Drosophila melanogaster: one gene and its partner. The protein of the gene in region 1 interacts with the protein of each later gene in a pairwise test. Each region holds a gene or a part of one and is shown in the gene's direction. Other genes may lie near its edges.

Region 1 (4,984 bases):
GCTATAAAACGGCGGCATTTCGTGTTTCTGTGTATAAAAAACCGGTAAAAATTCAAAAACCCAGTTTCAGTGTGCCCAGACATCAAGTAAGTATTTTAGTATTTTCAGTTTTAGTTTTAGGTTTTAAATATTTGGCAATTGCACCTCCTTTCGATGTATCGATGTACCTACAAAGTATCGATAGTGACTGTTGCCAGTATCGCTTTAGTTATTCCATCTCTAAGCATCAGGCTTTGGTCACATTACCAACCTTTCATAAAAAATAAAAAACAAAACAAAAAGGCGATAAAACGCAATTAAAGCAACTGTAAAAAACATAACAAACTAAAACCACTGATAAACTAAACCAACTGCATTGCACACACCCCGCAAACAAACGAAAATGTGATGTTAAGTGTGAGTAAAAACCGATGGAAAAGCGAAAGGAGTGTGCGTGTCGAGCATGTGCGAGTGTGTGTGTGTGCGTGCGCGTGAAGTGCGAATAATGTGTGATGGAGAGAGGGCAAGAGAGCGGCGCCAGCTAAAAAATATAAACAATTAAATAAATATGTAAATTTATATATATGGATGTATGGCATGGAAGTAGTTATCCACTAGTTACGAAAAGAGAAAAACAAAAGAACTAGTTCTCTTTTCTTTGAGTGTGCGTGTGTGGTTGTGTGGGGGAGAGGATTCCAGCTGCCTTTGTGTGTGAATTTCATTTAGTTTTTTTTTATCTGCTATTATTTTGTTGTGCGGATATTTTTTAACCCTTGTTAGCCCTTTATTTTGCTGATGTTTGCGTTAGTGTGTGTGTGTGTGCTTTCAACCCCCAAAAACTTCACCACCCGTCGCCGCCCGGCGAAAAATCACTGAGCAATAAAACCACCCACTACCCACCAAATGAAAAGACCAAAAAAAAAACGAAGCGAATTATTTCCCACTGAAAATTTTTTTCTTCCAAGGTGATGATGTTTTCTTCCTCTTGCTCCTCATCTTTCCAGGAGCAGCACTCGAAAAAAGGGAGAAGCAAGATGGAGAAGGAGAGTGAGTGAGTGAGAGAGAGCACAATTCAGAAACTGTCGAAATAAAACGGCTTCTCCACCTCTCACGCCTTTTGTCGCCCCCCGCTGCGGGCCCCATCGCACAGTGGGACGCGCAGACTAGGTGTTCTAACAAATTTCGAATTTTCACGCTCCAGTGAACTCATAGGCACTAAATTAATGTTTTAAATGTAATATTAATGAGTTTGTTGTTTTATTATCACCTATTTCGCTCCACTGTGCAACGTATGACGCGCTAGCGTCCCCTCTTTCGCTCTCGCGCAATTCGACCATTTTCCATCCTTCTCGCTCACGCCGACTGCCTTTTGGCGTATTTCTTTTGTGCCTATGTATTTCCGCTTGTTAGGTCAGCTCTCCCCCTGCTCCCCCGCCCAACAACGTCCTCTTTTTGTGCTCCCTTTTTGGGCTCCAAGTTCTGGCAGTCCTTTTAGGAACAGTTGTGGCCGAGAGAATAGGGAATTCGTTAAGACGGCCTTCTTTTGAAAGTAGATGCTCGCTTGTAGTATGATCTTAAAATGCGTGTACTAAGCCCCTATTAAATTAATAATAATAATTAAATGTTGTTTTTCATTTCTTATTTAAAAATAATCTGTTTAAGGAAAAATTAATAGATGTTGAGTAAGATGTACCTGATAATACTATTTCATTGACCCCTGCTGTATATTTTGGTTTTGTGTTGTGAGTGAGAACGAAGTTGTGTGGGTGTTTAAAAAGGGTAAGAAAGGCAAAAAAAAAGGCGAAACGGAGTAGGACAAGAACCAAAAAGAAAAACGAAATAAAAGTAACGTTGTTTTGTGTGCGGGCCAACCGAAAACCAATTAACTTTTTGAATATTGCACGAAATTGCGCGCCATCGCCCGTTCGTTTACCAACACTGACCGCCGAATGCAACCCTGCGCAACACTAACTCACACACACGAGCGTAGTAAGACCCAGGGAGGCAAAAATTCACACACAAGCAAATATTTTTTTGTTATTATTGAACAGTGTGGAAGAACAGCGCGAAAGGGAAAAACGAGCTTGCGGATGTGAAAAGTAAAGCGGGTGTGTGGAAAACGGCAACAACAAAAGGCGAACGGGGGAAAGCCAAAGAAAAACTACTCGCGGGGGAGCAAAAATCGGCTGGGAAACACGGACGAAGAAGAAGAAGAATAGGAATCAGAGTAGGAGAGCAAGCAGCAGCAGAAGAAGAAGAAGCAGCGCAGCCGCTAATTGTCTCGTCGTTCGTTGTTGTTGCTGCCTTGCAAAAAAAAAAACGAAACCGAAAAAGAAATGGCAAAAAAATAACGCAAACAAATTCAATAAAACGAACTAAACAATTAGCAAGTTAATAAACGCAACATAAAACCAAAGGAACGAACAGCAGTGGCAAAAGAAAAAGGCAAAAGAAGAACAATCGAAAAGGTCAAAAAGTGTGAGCAAGGGAGAGGAGAGACTTCCCCAAAAAAAACCGAAAGAAAAATGGAGCAAAAGTGAAAAACCTGTGAATGTGTGTGTGTGTGAGAGATGGTGAGAGAGAGAGTGGGGGGAAAAGCTAAAATTAATTTTTTGTTTTTATTTCCAAGGCGCGCACTGGTGTGTGTGTGTGAGTGTGGGTGGAAAATCGGATTTCGTAAAACGCATTTAATTGTTAACAGCAGCAAAAACGTGTATAATTTACCTGATTTTTCTACATCTCACTTACAGTTAGTAATCAAATTGCACAAAATGCGAAAGAGGAGAGCAGATCAATAATAATAATAATAACAAAAAGGAAAGGAGCAAATGTAACGACTTCTGTGTGTGTGTGTGCGTGCGTGAAGCAAACAACAAAAAACAGCGCAGAAACATTTTTAACTAAAATGTGGAAAGCAAGCAAGGAAACAACAAAAGCTAAAACAACAACGACAGCCAGGAGCAGCGCAGCCAGCAGCGACGTCGACGCCAGCGTCGCCGCATGGAAAGCACAGAAAACCGCATGACAAGGAAATGGAAAATTTTTGTGCAGCCCAAAAAACCAAATGTGAACATAAAGGAAAGGCCGACAGCGAGGCGTTGAGCAAACGAAAAACAAAACAAAATACAACAAAAATACAAGAACGTGTGTGTGTGTGCGTGTGTGTGTGTTTTCCAATCGTATAATCGAAGAATAATAGTAATAATAATACGAGTCAAGGAAGAAGCGGCATTCGAAAGAGAACAGAATAAACGGAGGAAGAAACAGATGTAATAACTAAAGCAGAAGAAGAAGCCCATCAGCAAATCTATGAGAAGAAGAAGAAGGCGAAGAGGAAGCGGCAACTTGAAAAATATACAACAATTATTAATTATGGCAGCTTCGACAAACAAAATTCTGTAGAAGAGGAAACAACAGACGCCCAAAGGCAAGATTTTTAAATAGGGAGTAGTAACATAAAAGAAAACTTTGGCAGCCAAAACGACAAGAAACAAACAAAAAATTGTAAGTAACAACAAGCCCTGCTTTTTCCAAACAAAAACTAGTTCGTTTCGATGAAATTATCACTTAATCACCAAAGTTTTGTATAGTTGTTCCTCTCAGTACTGAAAGCATTTCGCTTTCATCTAGTTTTATTTAATAACCCGTACTTTAAGACATCAGAAACTCGAATGGACTTAACTTGTTTGTTAGATTTTGTGGCAGAGTTCATAATATTGTTCTATTTCTCAGGCTAACAATATATTCAACATAGCTGGAGGTTTACGCCAAACACAGGCGTCGCATCCCCAACAGCTCAAGAGAAGAACGTAAGTTATTGCCCACCAGCCATGGCCGAATGTGAGTCTAATCCAAATGTTTGTACGATTTGCAGATACAAATAAGGGAAATATACATCAATTAGTATATCGCTGCCATGGCCAGCAGCGCGACGAACGTCGACGGCGGCAGCGGGACGTCGACGGCGCTGCCATCGCTCTTCCCCGCCGTTGGCGCCGCTGCCGGTGTCAAAGATATGGACGGATTAATGGCCATTAACGATAGCGCCCTATCGCAACAGATCGAATTTATACTGCAGGATGCTCCCATGGAGCAGGACGACGATCCTCACCAGCATACGCATGTGCATCACCATCATCACTCGCAGCATCATCCTCACTCGCATTCGCATCAGCAGCAACAGCAGCAGCATCTTCAGCAGCAACAGCAGCAGCAGCAACACCATCATCCGCATCATCATCTGAAGCTGGACAACAGCAGCAACAACCACCCACCGACCGCAGCAGCAGCCGCAGCTGCCGTAGCAGTAGCAGCAACAACTGCAGCAACAGCAGCCGCAGCAACCAACAACAGCGCTTCCTTTAGCAGCAACAGCAGCAGTAGCAATAGCAACAACAGCAATCACTTGGACAACCAGCAACAGTTGCTCATTCAGCAGCAGCAGCAACAGCAGCAACATCATCTGCTAAACGGACGCCGCATCATAATCCAGGCCACGGGTAACTCGTCCGTTTTAGCCGCCAGCGATATCAAGGAGGAGGACGAGGAGGAGGAAGATCCCGAGCTGAACGATGAGAATCTGCAGGATATCGAAGAGGAGGCTCAGGCAGCCGAGGCCGATGAGGAGCCCGAAACCACCGCGCATTTGTCCACGCAAGTTAAGCTGGAGCTGGAAGAGGATGATGAAATGCCCGACGAGGAGGAGGAAGAGGATGAGGACGATGACGAGGAGCTGCAGCACGGCCAGCTGGAGTACCAAATTAGTGCGGCAACGCAAACAGCTGGAGCAGCGACGAGTAGTGCCGCTGGTGGCGCCGCAACAGCCGGCGGAGGATCACAGCAATTGGTACAACTGCCCGCCGGTAGTATTGTGAGCACAACCACCCACCGATTGTCGGTGCCCGTGACCGAGGCGGCTCTTGTGCAGCTGCAACGACGACCTGTCTACATAAGCAATGCTGTTGGCGGCCTAACGGCCGGAGCAACCTATGTGAGAATGCCGGCG
Region 2 (5,135 bases), on another chromosome or scaffold:
TCTTAGCATCGTCAAATTTCCATTTGCATACTTTGCTTTTATTTATGTTGGAGCACATAAATATTTATCCACAGATTCGGCCCGACTGACAATCCCGCCCACATATCACAGCACTTATCACATCCGCCTGCTTTTGGGCATGTGTGTGCCATAAATCGGGGGATTACGATCGTGGGAAGGGGGGTTTGGACCCATGGCAGTTTATTGAATCGGAATTCACAAAAATTCAATCTGCATGTAATTTGGCATTATAGACAGACCCTTCCCATTCCGCCATGCGGAAGGAGCAGCCAGTCTGACCCCCGATGAATGGGTTATCAAAATGTTGACCCGCCGATGGTCATTTGATGATGGGCAGCTGTAAGGAGATTAAACATTTTGTGATTTAATGTAAGCCCAGTGCTGTCCATAATTCGCTGCACGAGCTGTCCCAAACAAAAGACTCTTCAGCTGGACACCGACTCCTCCACCGCTTGCCCGAATGTGTCAAAGATTTTTTATTCGCCGCTTGGCGATATGTGGGTTTCTACGAGTTAACGGGGTCATCGACCACGTCGGGCGGATACACCTCTAATCCCCCCGCAATCAACGTGCAAAAAAGTCCACCAAAGTCCACAAAGAGACTTGAGCAGCCAACAAAAAAAAATATGGCAAAAAATGTAGTTCCAGGGGGCACCCGGATTTGAACCGGGGACCTCTCGATCTGCAGTCGAATGCTCTACCCCTGAGCTATACCCCCGACTTGAAAATGGCGAACTCAGAGCGCCTTTTAAAGTTCCCTGATGCGATAAAATTTCGCCTTTGCATTTATCTTAAAATAGAAATGAAATCAATTTGGAACAGAGTGACTGTTCCGCGAAACTGTGGGTGTGATTCACACGACGAATCTCCGGCAACTTGCAATCTTATCTGCGAGTAATGTGCCCCACCAACTCCCCGAACTTTCTCCTTTCGCCCGCCCCCTCCCCCAAAAGCAAACTGATAGCTAGCTGCAGACGGACGGACTGACAGATGTTTTTGTCATCCGAAAATAGCTGGTAACTCGAGCCAAGAAACTGAAACTTTCTCGGTCGCAGATATGCAGGTCACAGACGTCAGCATTGATATTGAACTTTTGGGCCACTTTGGCAAGTGTTTCGCAGCGACCTCTGAACTTTGCCTGCCAAGGGGTGAAACTTGCTACTCTGTCGGATGCACAAGAGCGATCGATGAGTGACAGAAGCTATTTCGCAACTTGAACCCATTTTATTGAACGGACTTGAGTGACTAATTAGCTGCCTATAAATGGCTATAATAGCACAAAGTTATACTCAGAAAATAAGAGCAATAAAAGGAGTAGAAGTGATTAATTAGACAGGCATAGATTGCCATAATAGAACAAACTGTTATCAAGACAATTAAAGTAAAAACCAGGGGAGTTAAATTTGATTTGGATGGCTTAGGAAGAATCGTGTAATCTAGATAGAGGGAAGGGGTTAAGTTTGCATTTCATTTCCGCATCGCTTTCCGCATTGCTTAGAAACCGAGCGGGCTTAGAGGTCTGGCCGACTTCCGGCGTGGGCCAGACGTGCTGGCTGGGTGGTAGCCACTCCAGACAGACACTTGTTCCCCCCCGTGTCAAGCAACCAACGACCTTGCCGCAACACGCTCCACATGCTGGCTGCATAAGTCGTTGGGTATTATATATAAATGCAGGTCTACCATCGCTCAGACAGTTTTATGTTCTGGCCAACGTGGTGAATCGAGTGCAGAAGCTCTGTTTGTGGAAAGCGCAGAAAGAAACGCCGAAAAATGTCGCAGCTGCAACTGCTGCTCCTCGTCGCTTCGGCCTCCGTGGTCCTCGCGGGATACAGCTCCTCCACCGACGAGTCGACGGACGCCTCCAACTCCATTGGCGGCACCAAGTGCGACAAGAACCCGCTGAACGAACTGACCTTCCAGCTCAGCGGCAGCAGCCTCCACTGGCCCTGCGAGTCCACCAAGAACATCTACGTCCAGTCCGGCCGCTATGTGCCCCGTAACGTGATCGTGACCCGGGCCCAACTGCAGCGGGACTCCGCCTTCGTGGCGCTGCCCAGGTACAAGCAGGGCGTGCCCTTCACTCTCGGCAAGGTCAATCTAAAGAAGGGCGAGTGCCTGACCAAGATCGCACCCTATCCCTGCTGGGCCATTCAGGAGGAGGGCAACTGCCAGGCGCTGCAGTCCGTCGTGGACATAGCCGTCGATCAGAATGTGAGTGCAATTAACGCCAGTATTGTTTGGACCATTTTTTTTTTGGGGGTCAGACAAGTTGTCTCGTCCAAACTGCCAGTTCTGCCTTTAATTACGGACTGCTCGTTGTTGGCCACCATGGAGGCATAGCACTTTAACCCACACCAAATGTTTAATTCATATTTGTATCGTGGGTGGATTACAGGGTAGCATTGAAATGCTCTTAGGGCTATTCACTTTTTTTTTCTAAAAATGATTTAGTTTATCTTCTGATATTGATATTGATGTGCAGTCGCAGTGTTAAATATTTGCTAGCCCTTACAAAGTCGATCAAAATCGGGAGTTTAGCTCCAGGGTATCGTTTTCGCATTAACCCCTTGCCGGACGCACTTTTTTAATTGGTTAGCCTCGCTGTCGACCAAATATTACTTTTTTAATCAAATAAACGGGGCCACAAAAGTGAAGAGCTCCAAATAAAATTCATGCCCGTCAATTGGCGGCAGCAATTTAAGGGTAGAATAAACGGATACGGAAACGCCGAAAAAGCTGTGGGGTAAATGGAATATTATAAAGGACAAGGACTGCAGCTGAAAAGTGACAAGCAAATGCAGTGAAAAGTTCTCGAAAATAATTTTGGAAATGCTGGGAACAGGCCATCCAGCCGTGTTTTGTGCATTTCGATTGCACTTCAGAAGTTCTCAGCTTTAATTTTAAATGACAGATGCATTCGCAGATATTACAATGATGCTATTAAATATTTACATGACCTACTTACGATTGCGAGCATAAGCTGCAACTTAATAATTTCCTTCAATTATTGTTGGCGTCGAATCGTTCTCATTTAAATGCCATTCCCGTTTAGCTGCATTTATGCAAATCATTTCTTTATTTTATTTACACAAAAGTCGACGAAACAATAACAAACGGCAAACAAACGAGGCGACTGTATTTATTTATTTGCGCAATTTTCCATTCAGTGCTTTTCGCTGATACTCATTTTATGGCCACATATTTGCGAATGTGGAATTTTTAACGCCGCCAACATTTCAATTAGCCGCCAAATGAAAACATTAACAACAATCAACACGAGCTGCAATTGATAGCAATTAATAATTGCCTTCTCCGTTCGCAGGGACTTCTGTGGGCCTTGGACGTGGGCATTGTCAACACCCTGGAGCAGCCCATCCGCAGATGCAGTCCCAAGATCGTGGCCATAAACACGGCCAACCACAAGGTGGTCAAGAGCATCGACCTCAGCGACCTGGTCACCTCCGAGAGTCGGCTGCAGTTCATCGTGGTCGACTACTCCAAGGACAACAAGCCATTCGTGTGAGTTCCATTGCCTATACTCTTTTATTACCCTTAACTTCATCTGTGAAATGAGTTGTACTTAATCACTTTTTGAAATACATCAACTATGAAATTAATACCACACATTACATTATTATTAACCATTATTACTAACCATTATTTATCAGCACAATGATATTCAGAGATTCATATTGCAGTCATAAAATATTCGTTGAAATCATCGAACTGAATCAAGAGTTTGGAGTACTTTTACCACACACTTTCAATCATGCTTTCAATCAGCGATCATTGAGCCAATCAAAAGGGCATTAGCCACTTTGAGGCTCATATCTTATCTGCTCAAGGTAGTTCTCAGAAGTGTGGCTCATCATATACCAAATAAAATCGATTTGTATTGCATACATGATATCTAATCTCATTCCACATTATATTTCCTTCACTTTCAACCATAGCTATGTGGCCGATGCTGGAGCACGTAGTATCCTGGTATACGACATCACCGGCAACAAGTCCTACCGCATCGTCCTGCCGAAGGCCACCGCCCCCACCAGCGATGTGCTGTACGTGGCGCTCACCTCGAAGCCGGACGGCACCTCCACCCTGTTCTTCAGCTACCTGAGCTCCCCCCGTCTGTACTCCATCAAGGGCGAGTACCTGCGCGTTGGCCAGGGAGCGGGCTCCATCATCGACGTGGGCCCCAAGCCCTATGGCAAACAGGCGGTGCTGCTGGGCGCCGACGGCGGCACCTCGCTCTTCTTCCGCTACAAGGGCGAGAACGACATTTACCTGTGGGACTCGGAGACCTGCTTCAAGGCCGCCAATCTGCAGGAGGTGCAGCGGGGAGGCGACTGCCGGCTGTCCACCCAAGTGCTCCCGGGTCACAAGCGATTCATGTGGGCGCTGGAGAGCAACTTCCACGATTTCATCTCGGATCGCACGGGCTGCAACGGAGCCTCGATCGTCCTGCATCCTGTGGTGCGGGAATGTGACGATTGAGTCCGTATCCCTCCACTTTCTTAGGCTTAAGATTCAAACTGATTTGTTGTCGTTACTGGGTCTCATTAAAATTTTGGTGAATATTTATAGTTATTTGTAGTTTATCTTAAAATGTTCAGAATGATTTCAATTTTTTAAATAGGCATTTACTTGAATCAATATTGGTACCATGAAAACAATTCATTACTCTGACTCTGATTGGCACTTTCGAGTCTCAGCATTGAAATACTGTCCCATTGGACAGCTGTAGATCTGCAGCTGGTGATCGATGCATATGCAGTACTCATCCTTGGTGGAGACATTGGGACAGCTGAGGATCTCAAAGTCCGAGCACTGATAGATCCTATCAGTCACGCAGGTCAGGATCTTAGGATCAATTTGGAAGCCGGCGGGACAGGTCATCACCTCCAGTTCTCCATCGACGCACTTGCAGTACTCGATCTCAGAGGTTCGGAAGGGGCATTGGTACCTATCGTTGTTCATGCACGTGTGGGACTCCATCGCCTGAATGCTCCTCATGCTCCTGGTGTCGGGCACACAGCTGTAGCTGTTGAAAACGAATCCCTCGTGGCACTTCATCATCAGCGGATACAGCGAATTGGCCGTGTCATTGACGC

What was found.
Region 2: the proteins of CG32767 (region 1) and yellow-g interact in a two-hybrid assay, tested with the Drosophila melanogaster proteins (2 studies listed by BioGRID).

The regions. Positions count from the first base shown.
Region 1 is NC_004354.4:5,079,985-5,084,968, reverse strand, and holds the start of CG32767 (uncharacterized protein), read left to right. Parts: upstream 1-1,943; 5' UTR 1,944-2,552; intron 2,553-2,729; 5' UTR 2,730-3,483; intron 3,484-3,711; 5' UTR 3,712-3,788; intron 3,789-3,853; 5' UTR 3,854-3,895; coding exon 3,896-4,984.
Region 2 is NT_037436.4:2,269,348-2,274,482, reverse strand, and holds yellow-g (yellow-g), read left to right. Parts: upstream 1-1,713; 5' UTR 1,714-1,791; coding exon 1,792-2,232; intron 2,233-3,343; coding exon 3,344-3,540; intron 3,541-3,974; coding exon 3,975-4,518; 3' UTR 4,519-4,602; downstream 4,603-5,135. Other genes in the region: CG32302 (uncharacterized protein), read right to left, coding at 4,702-5,135.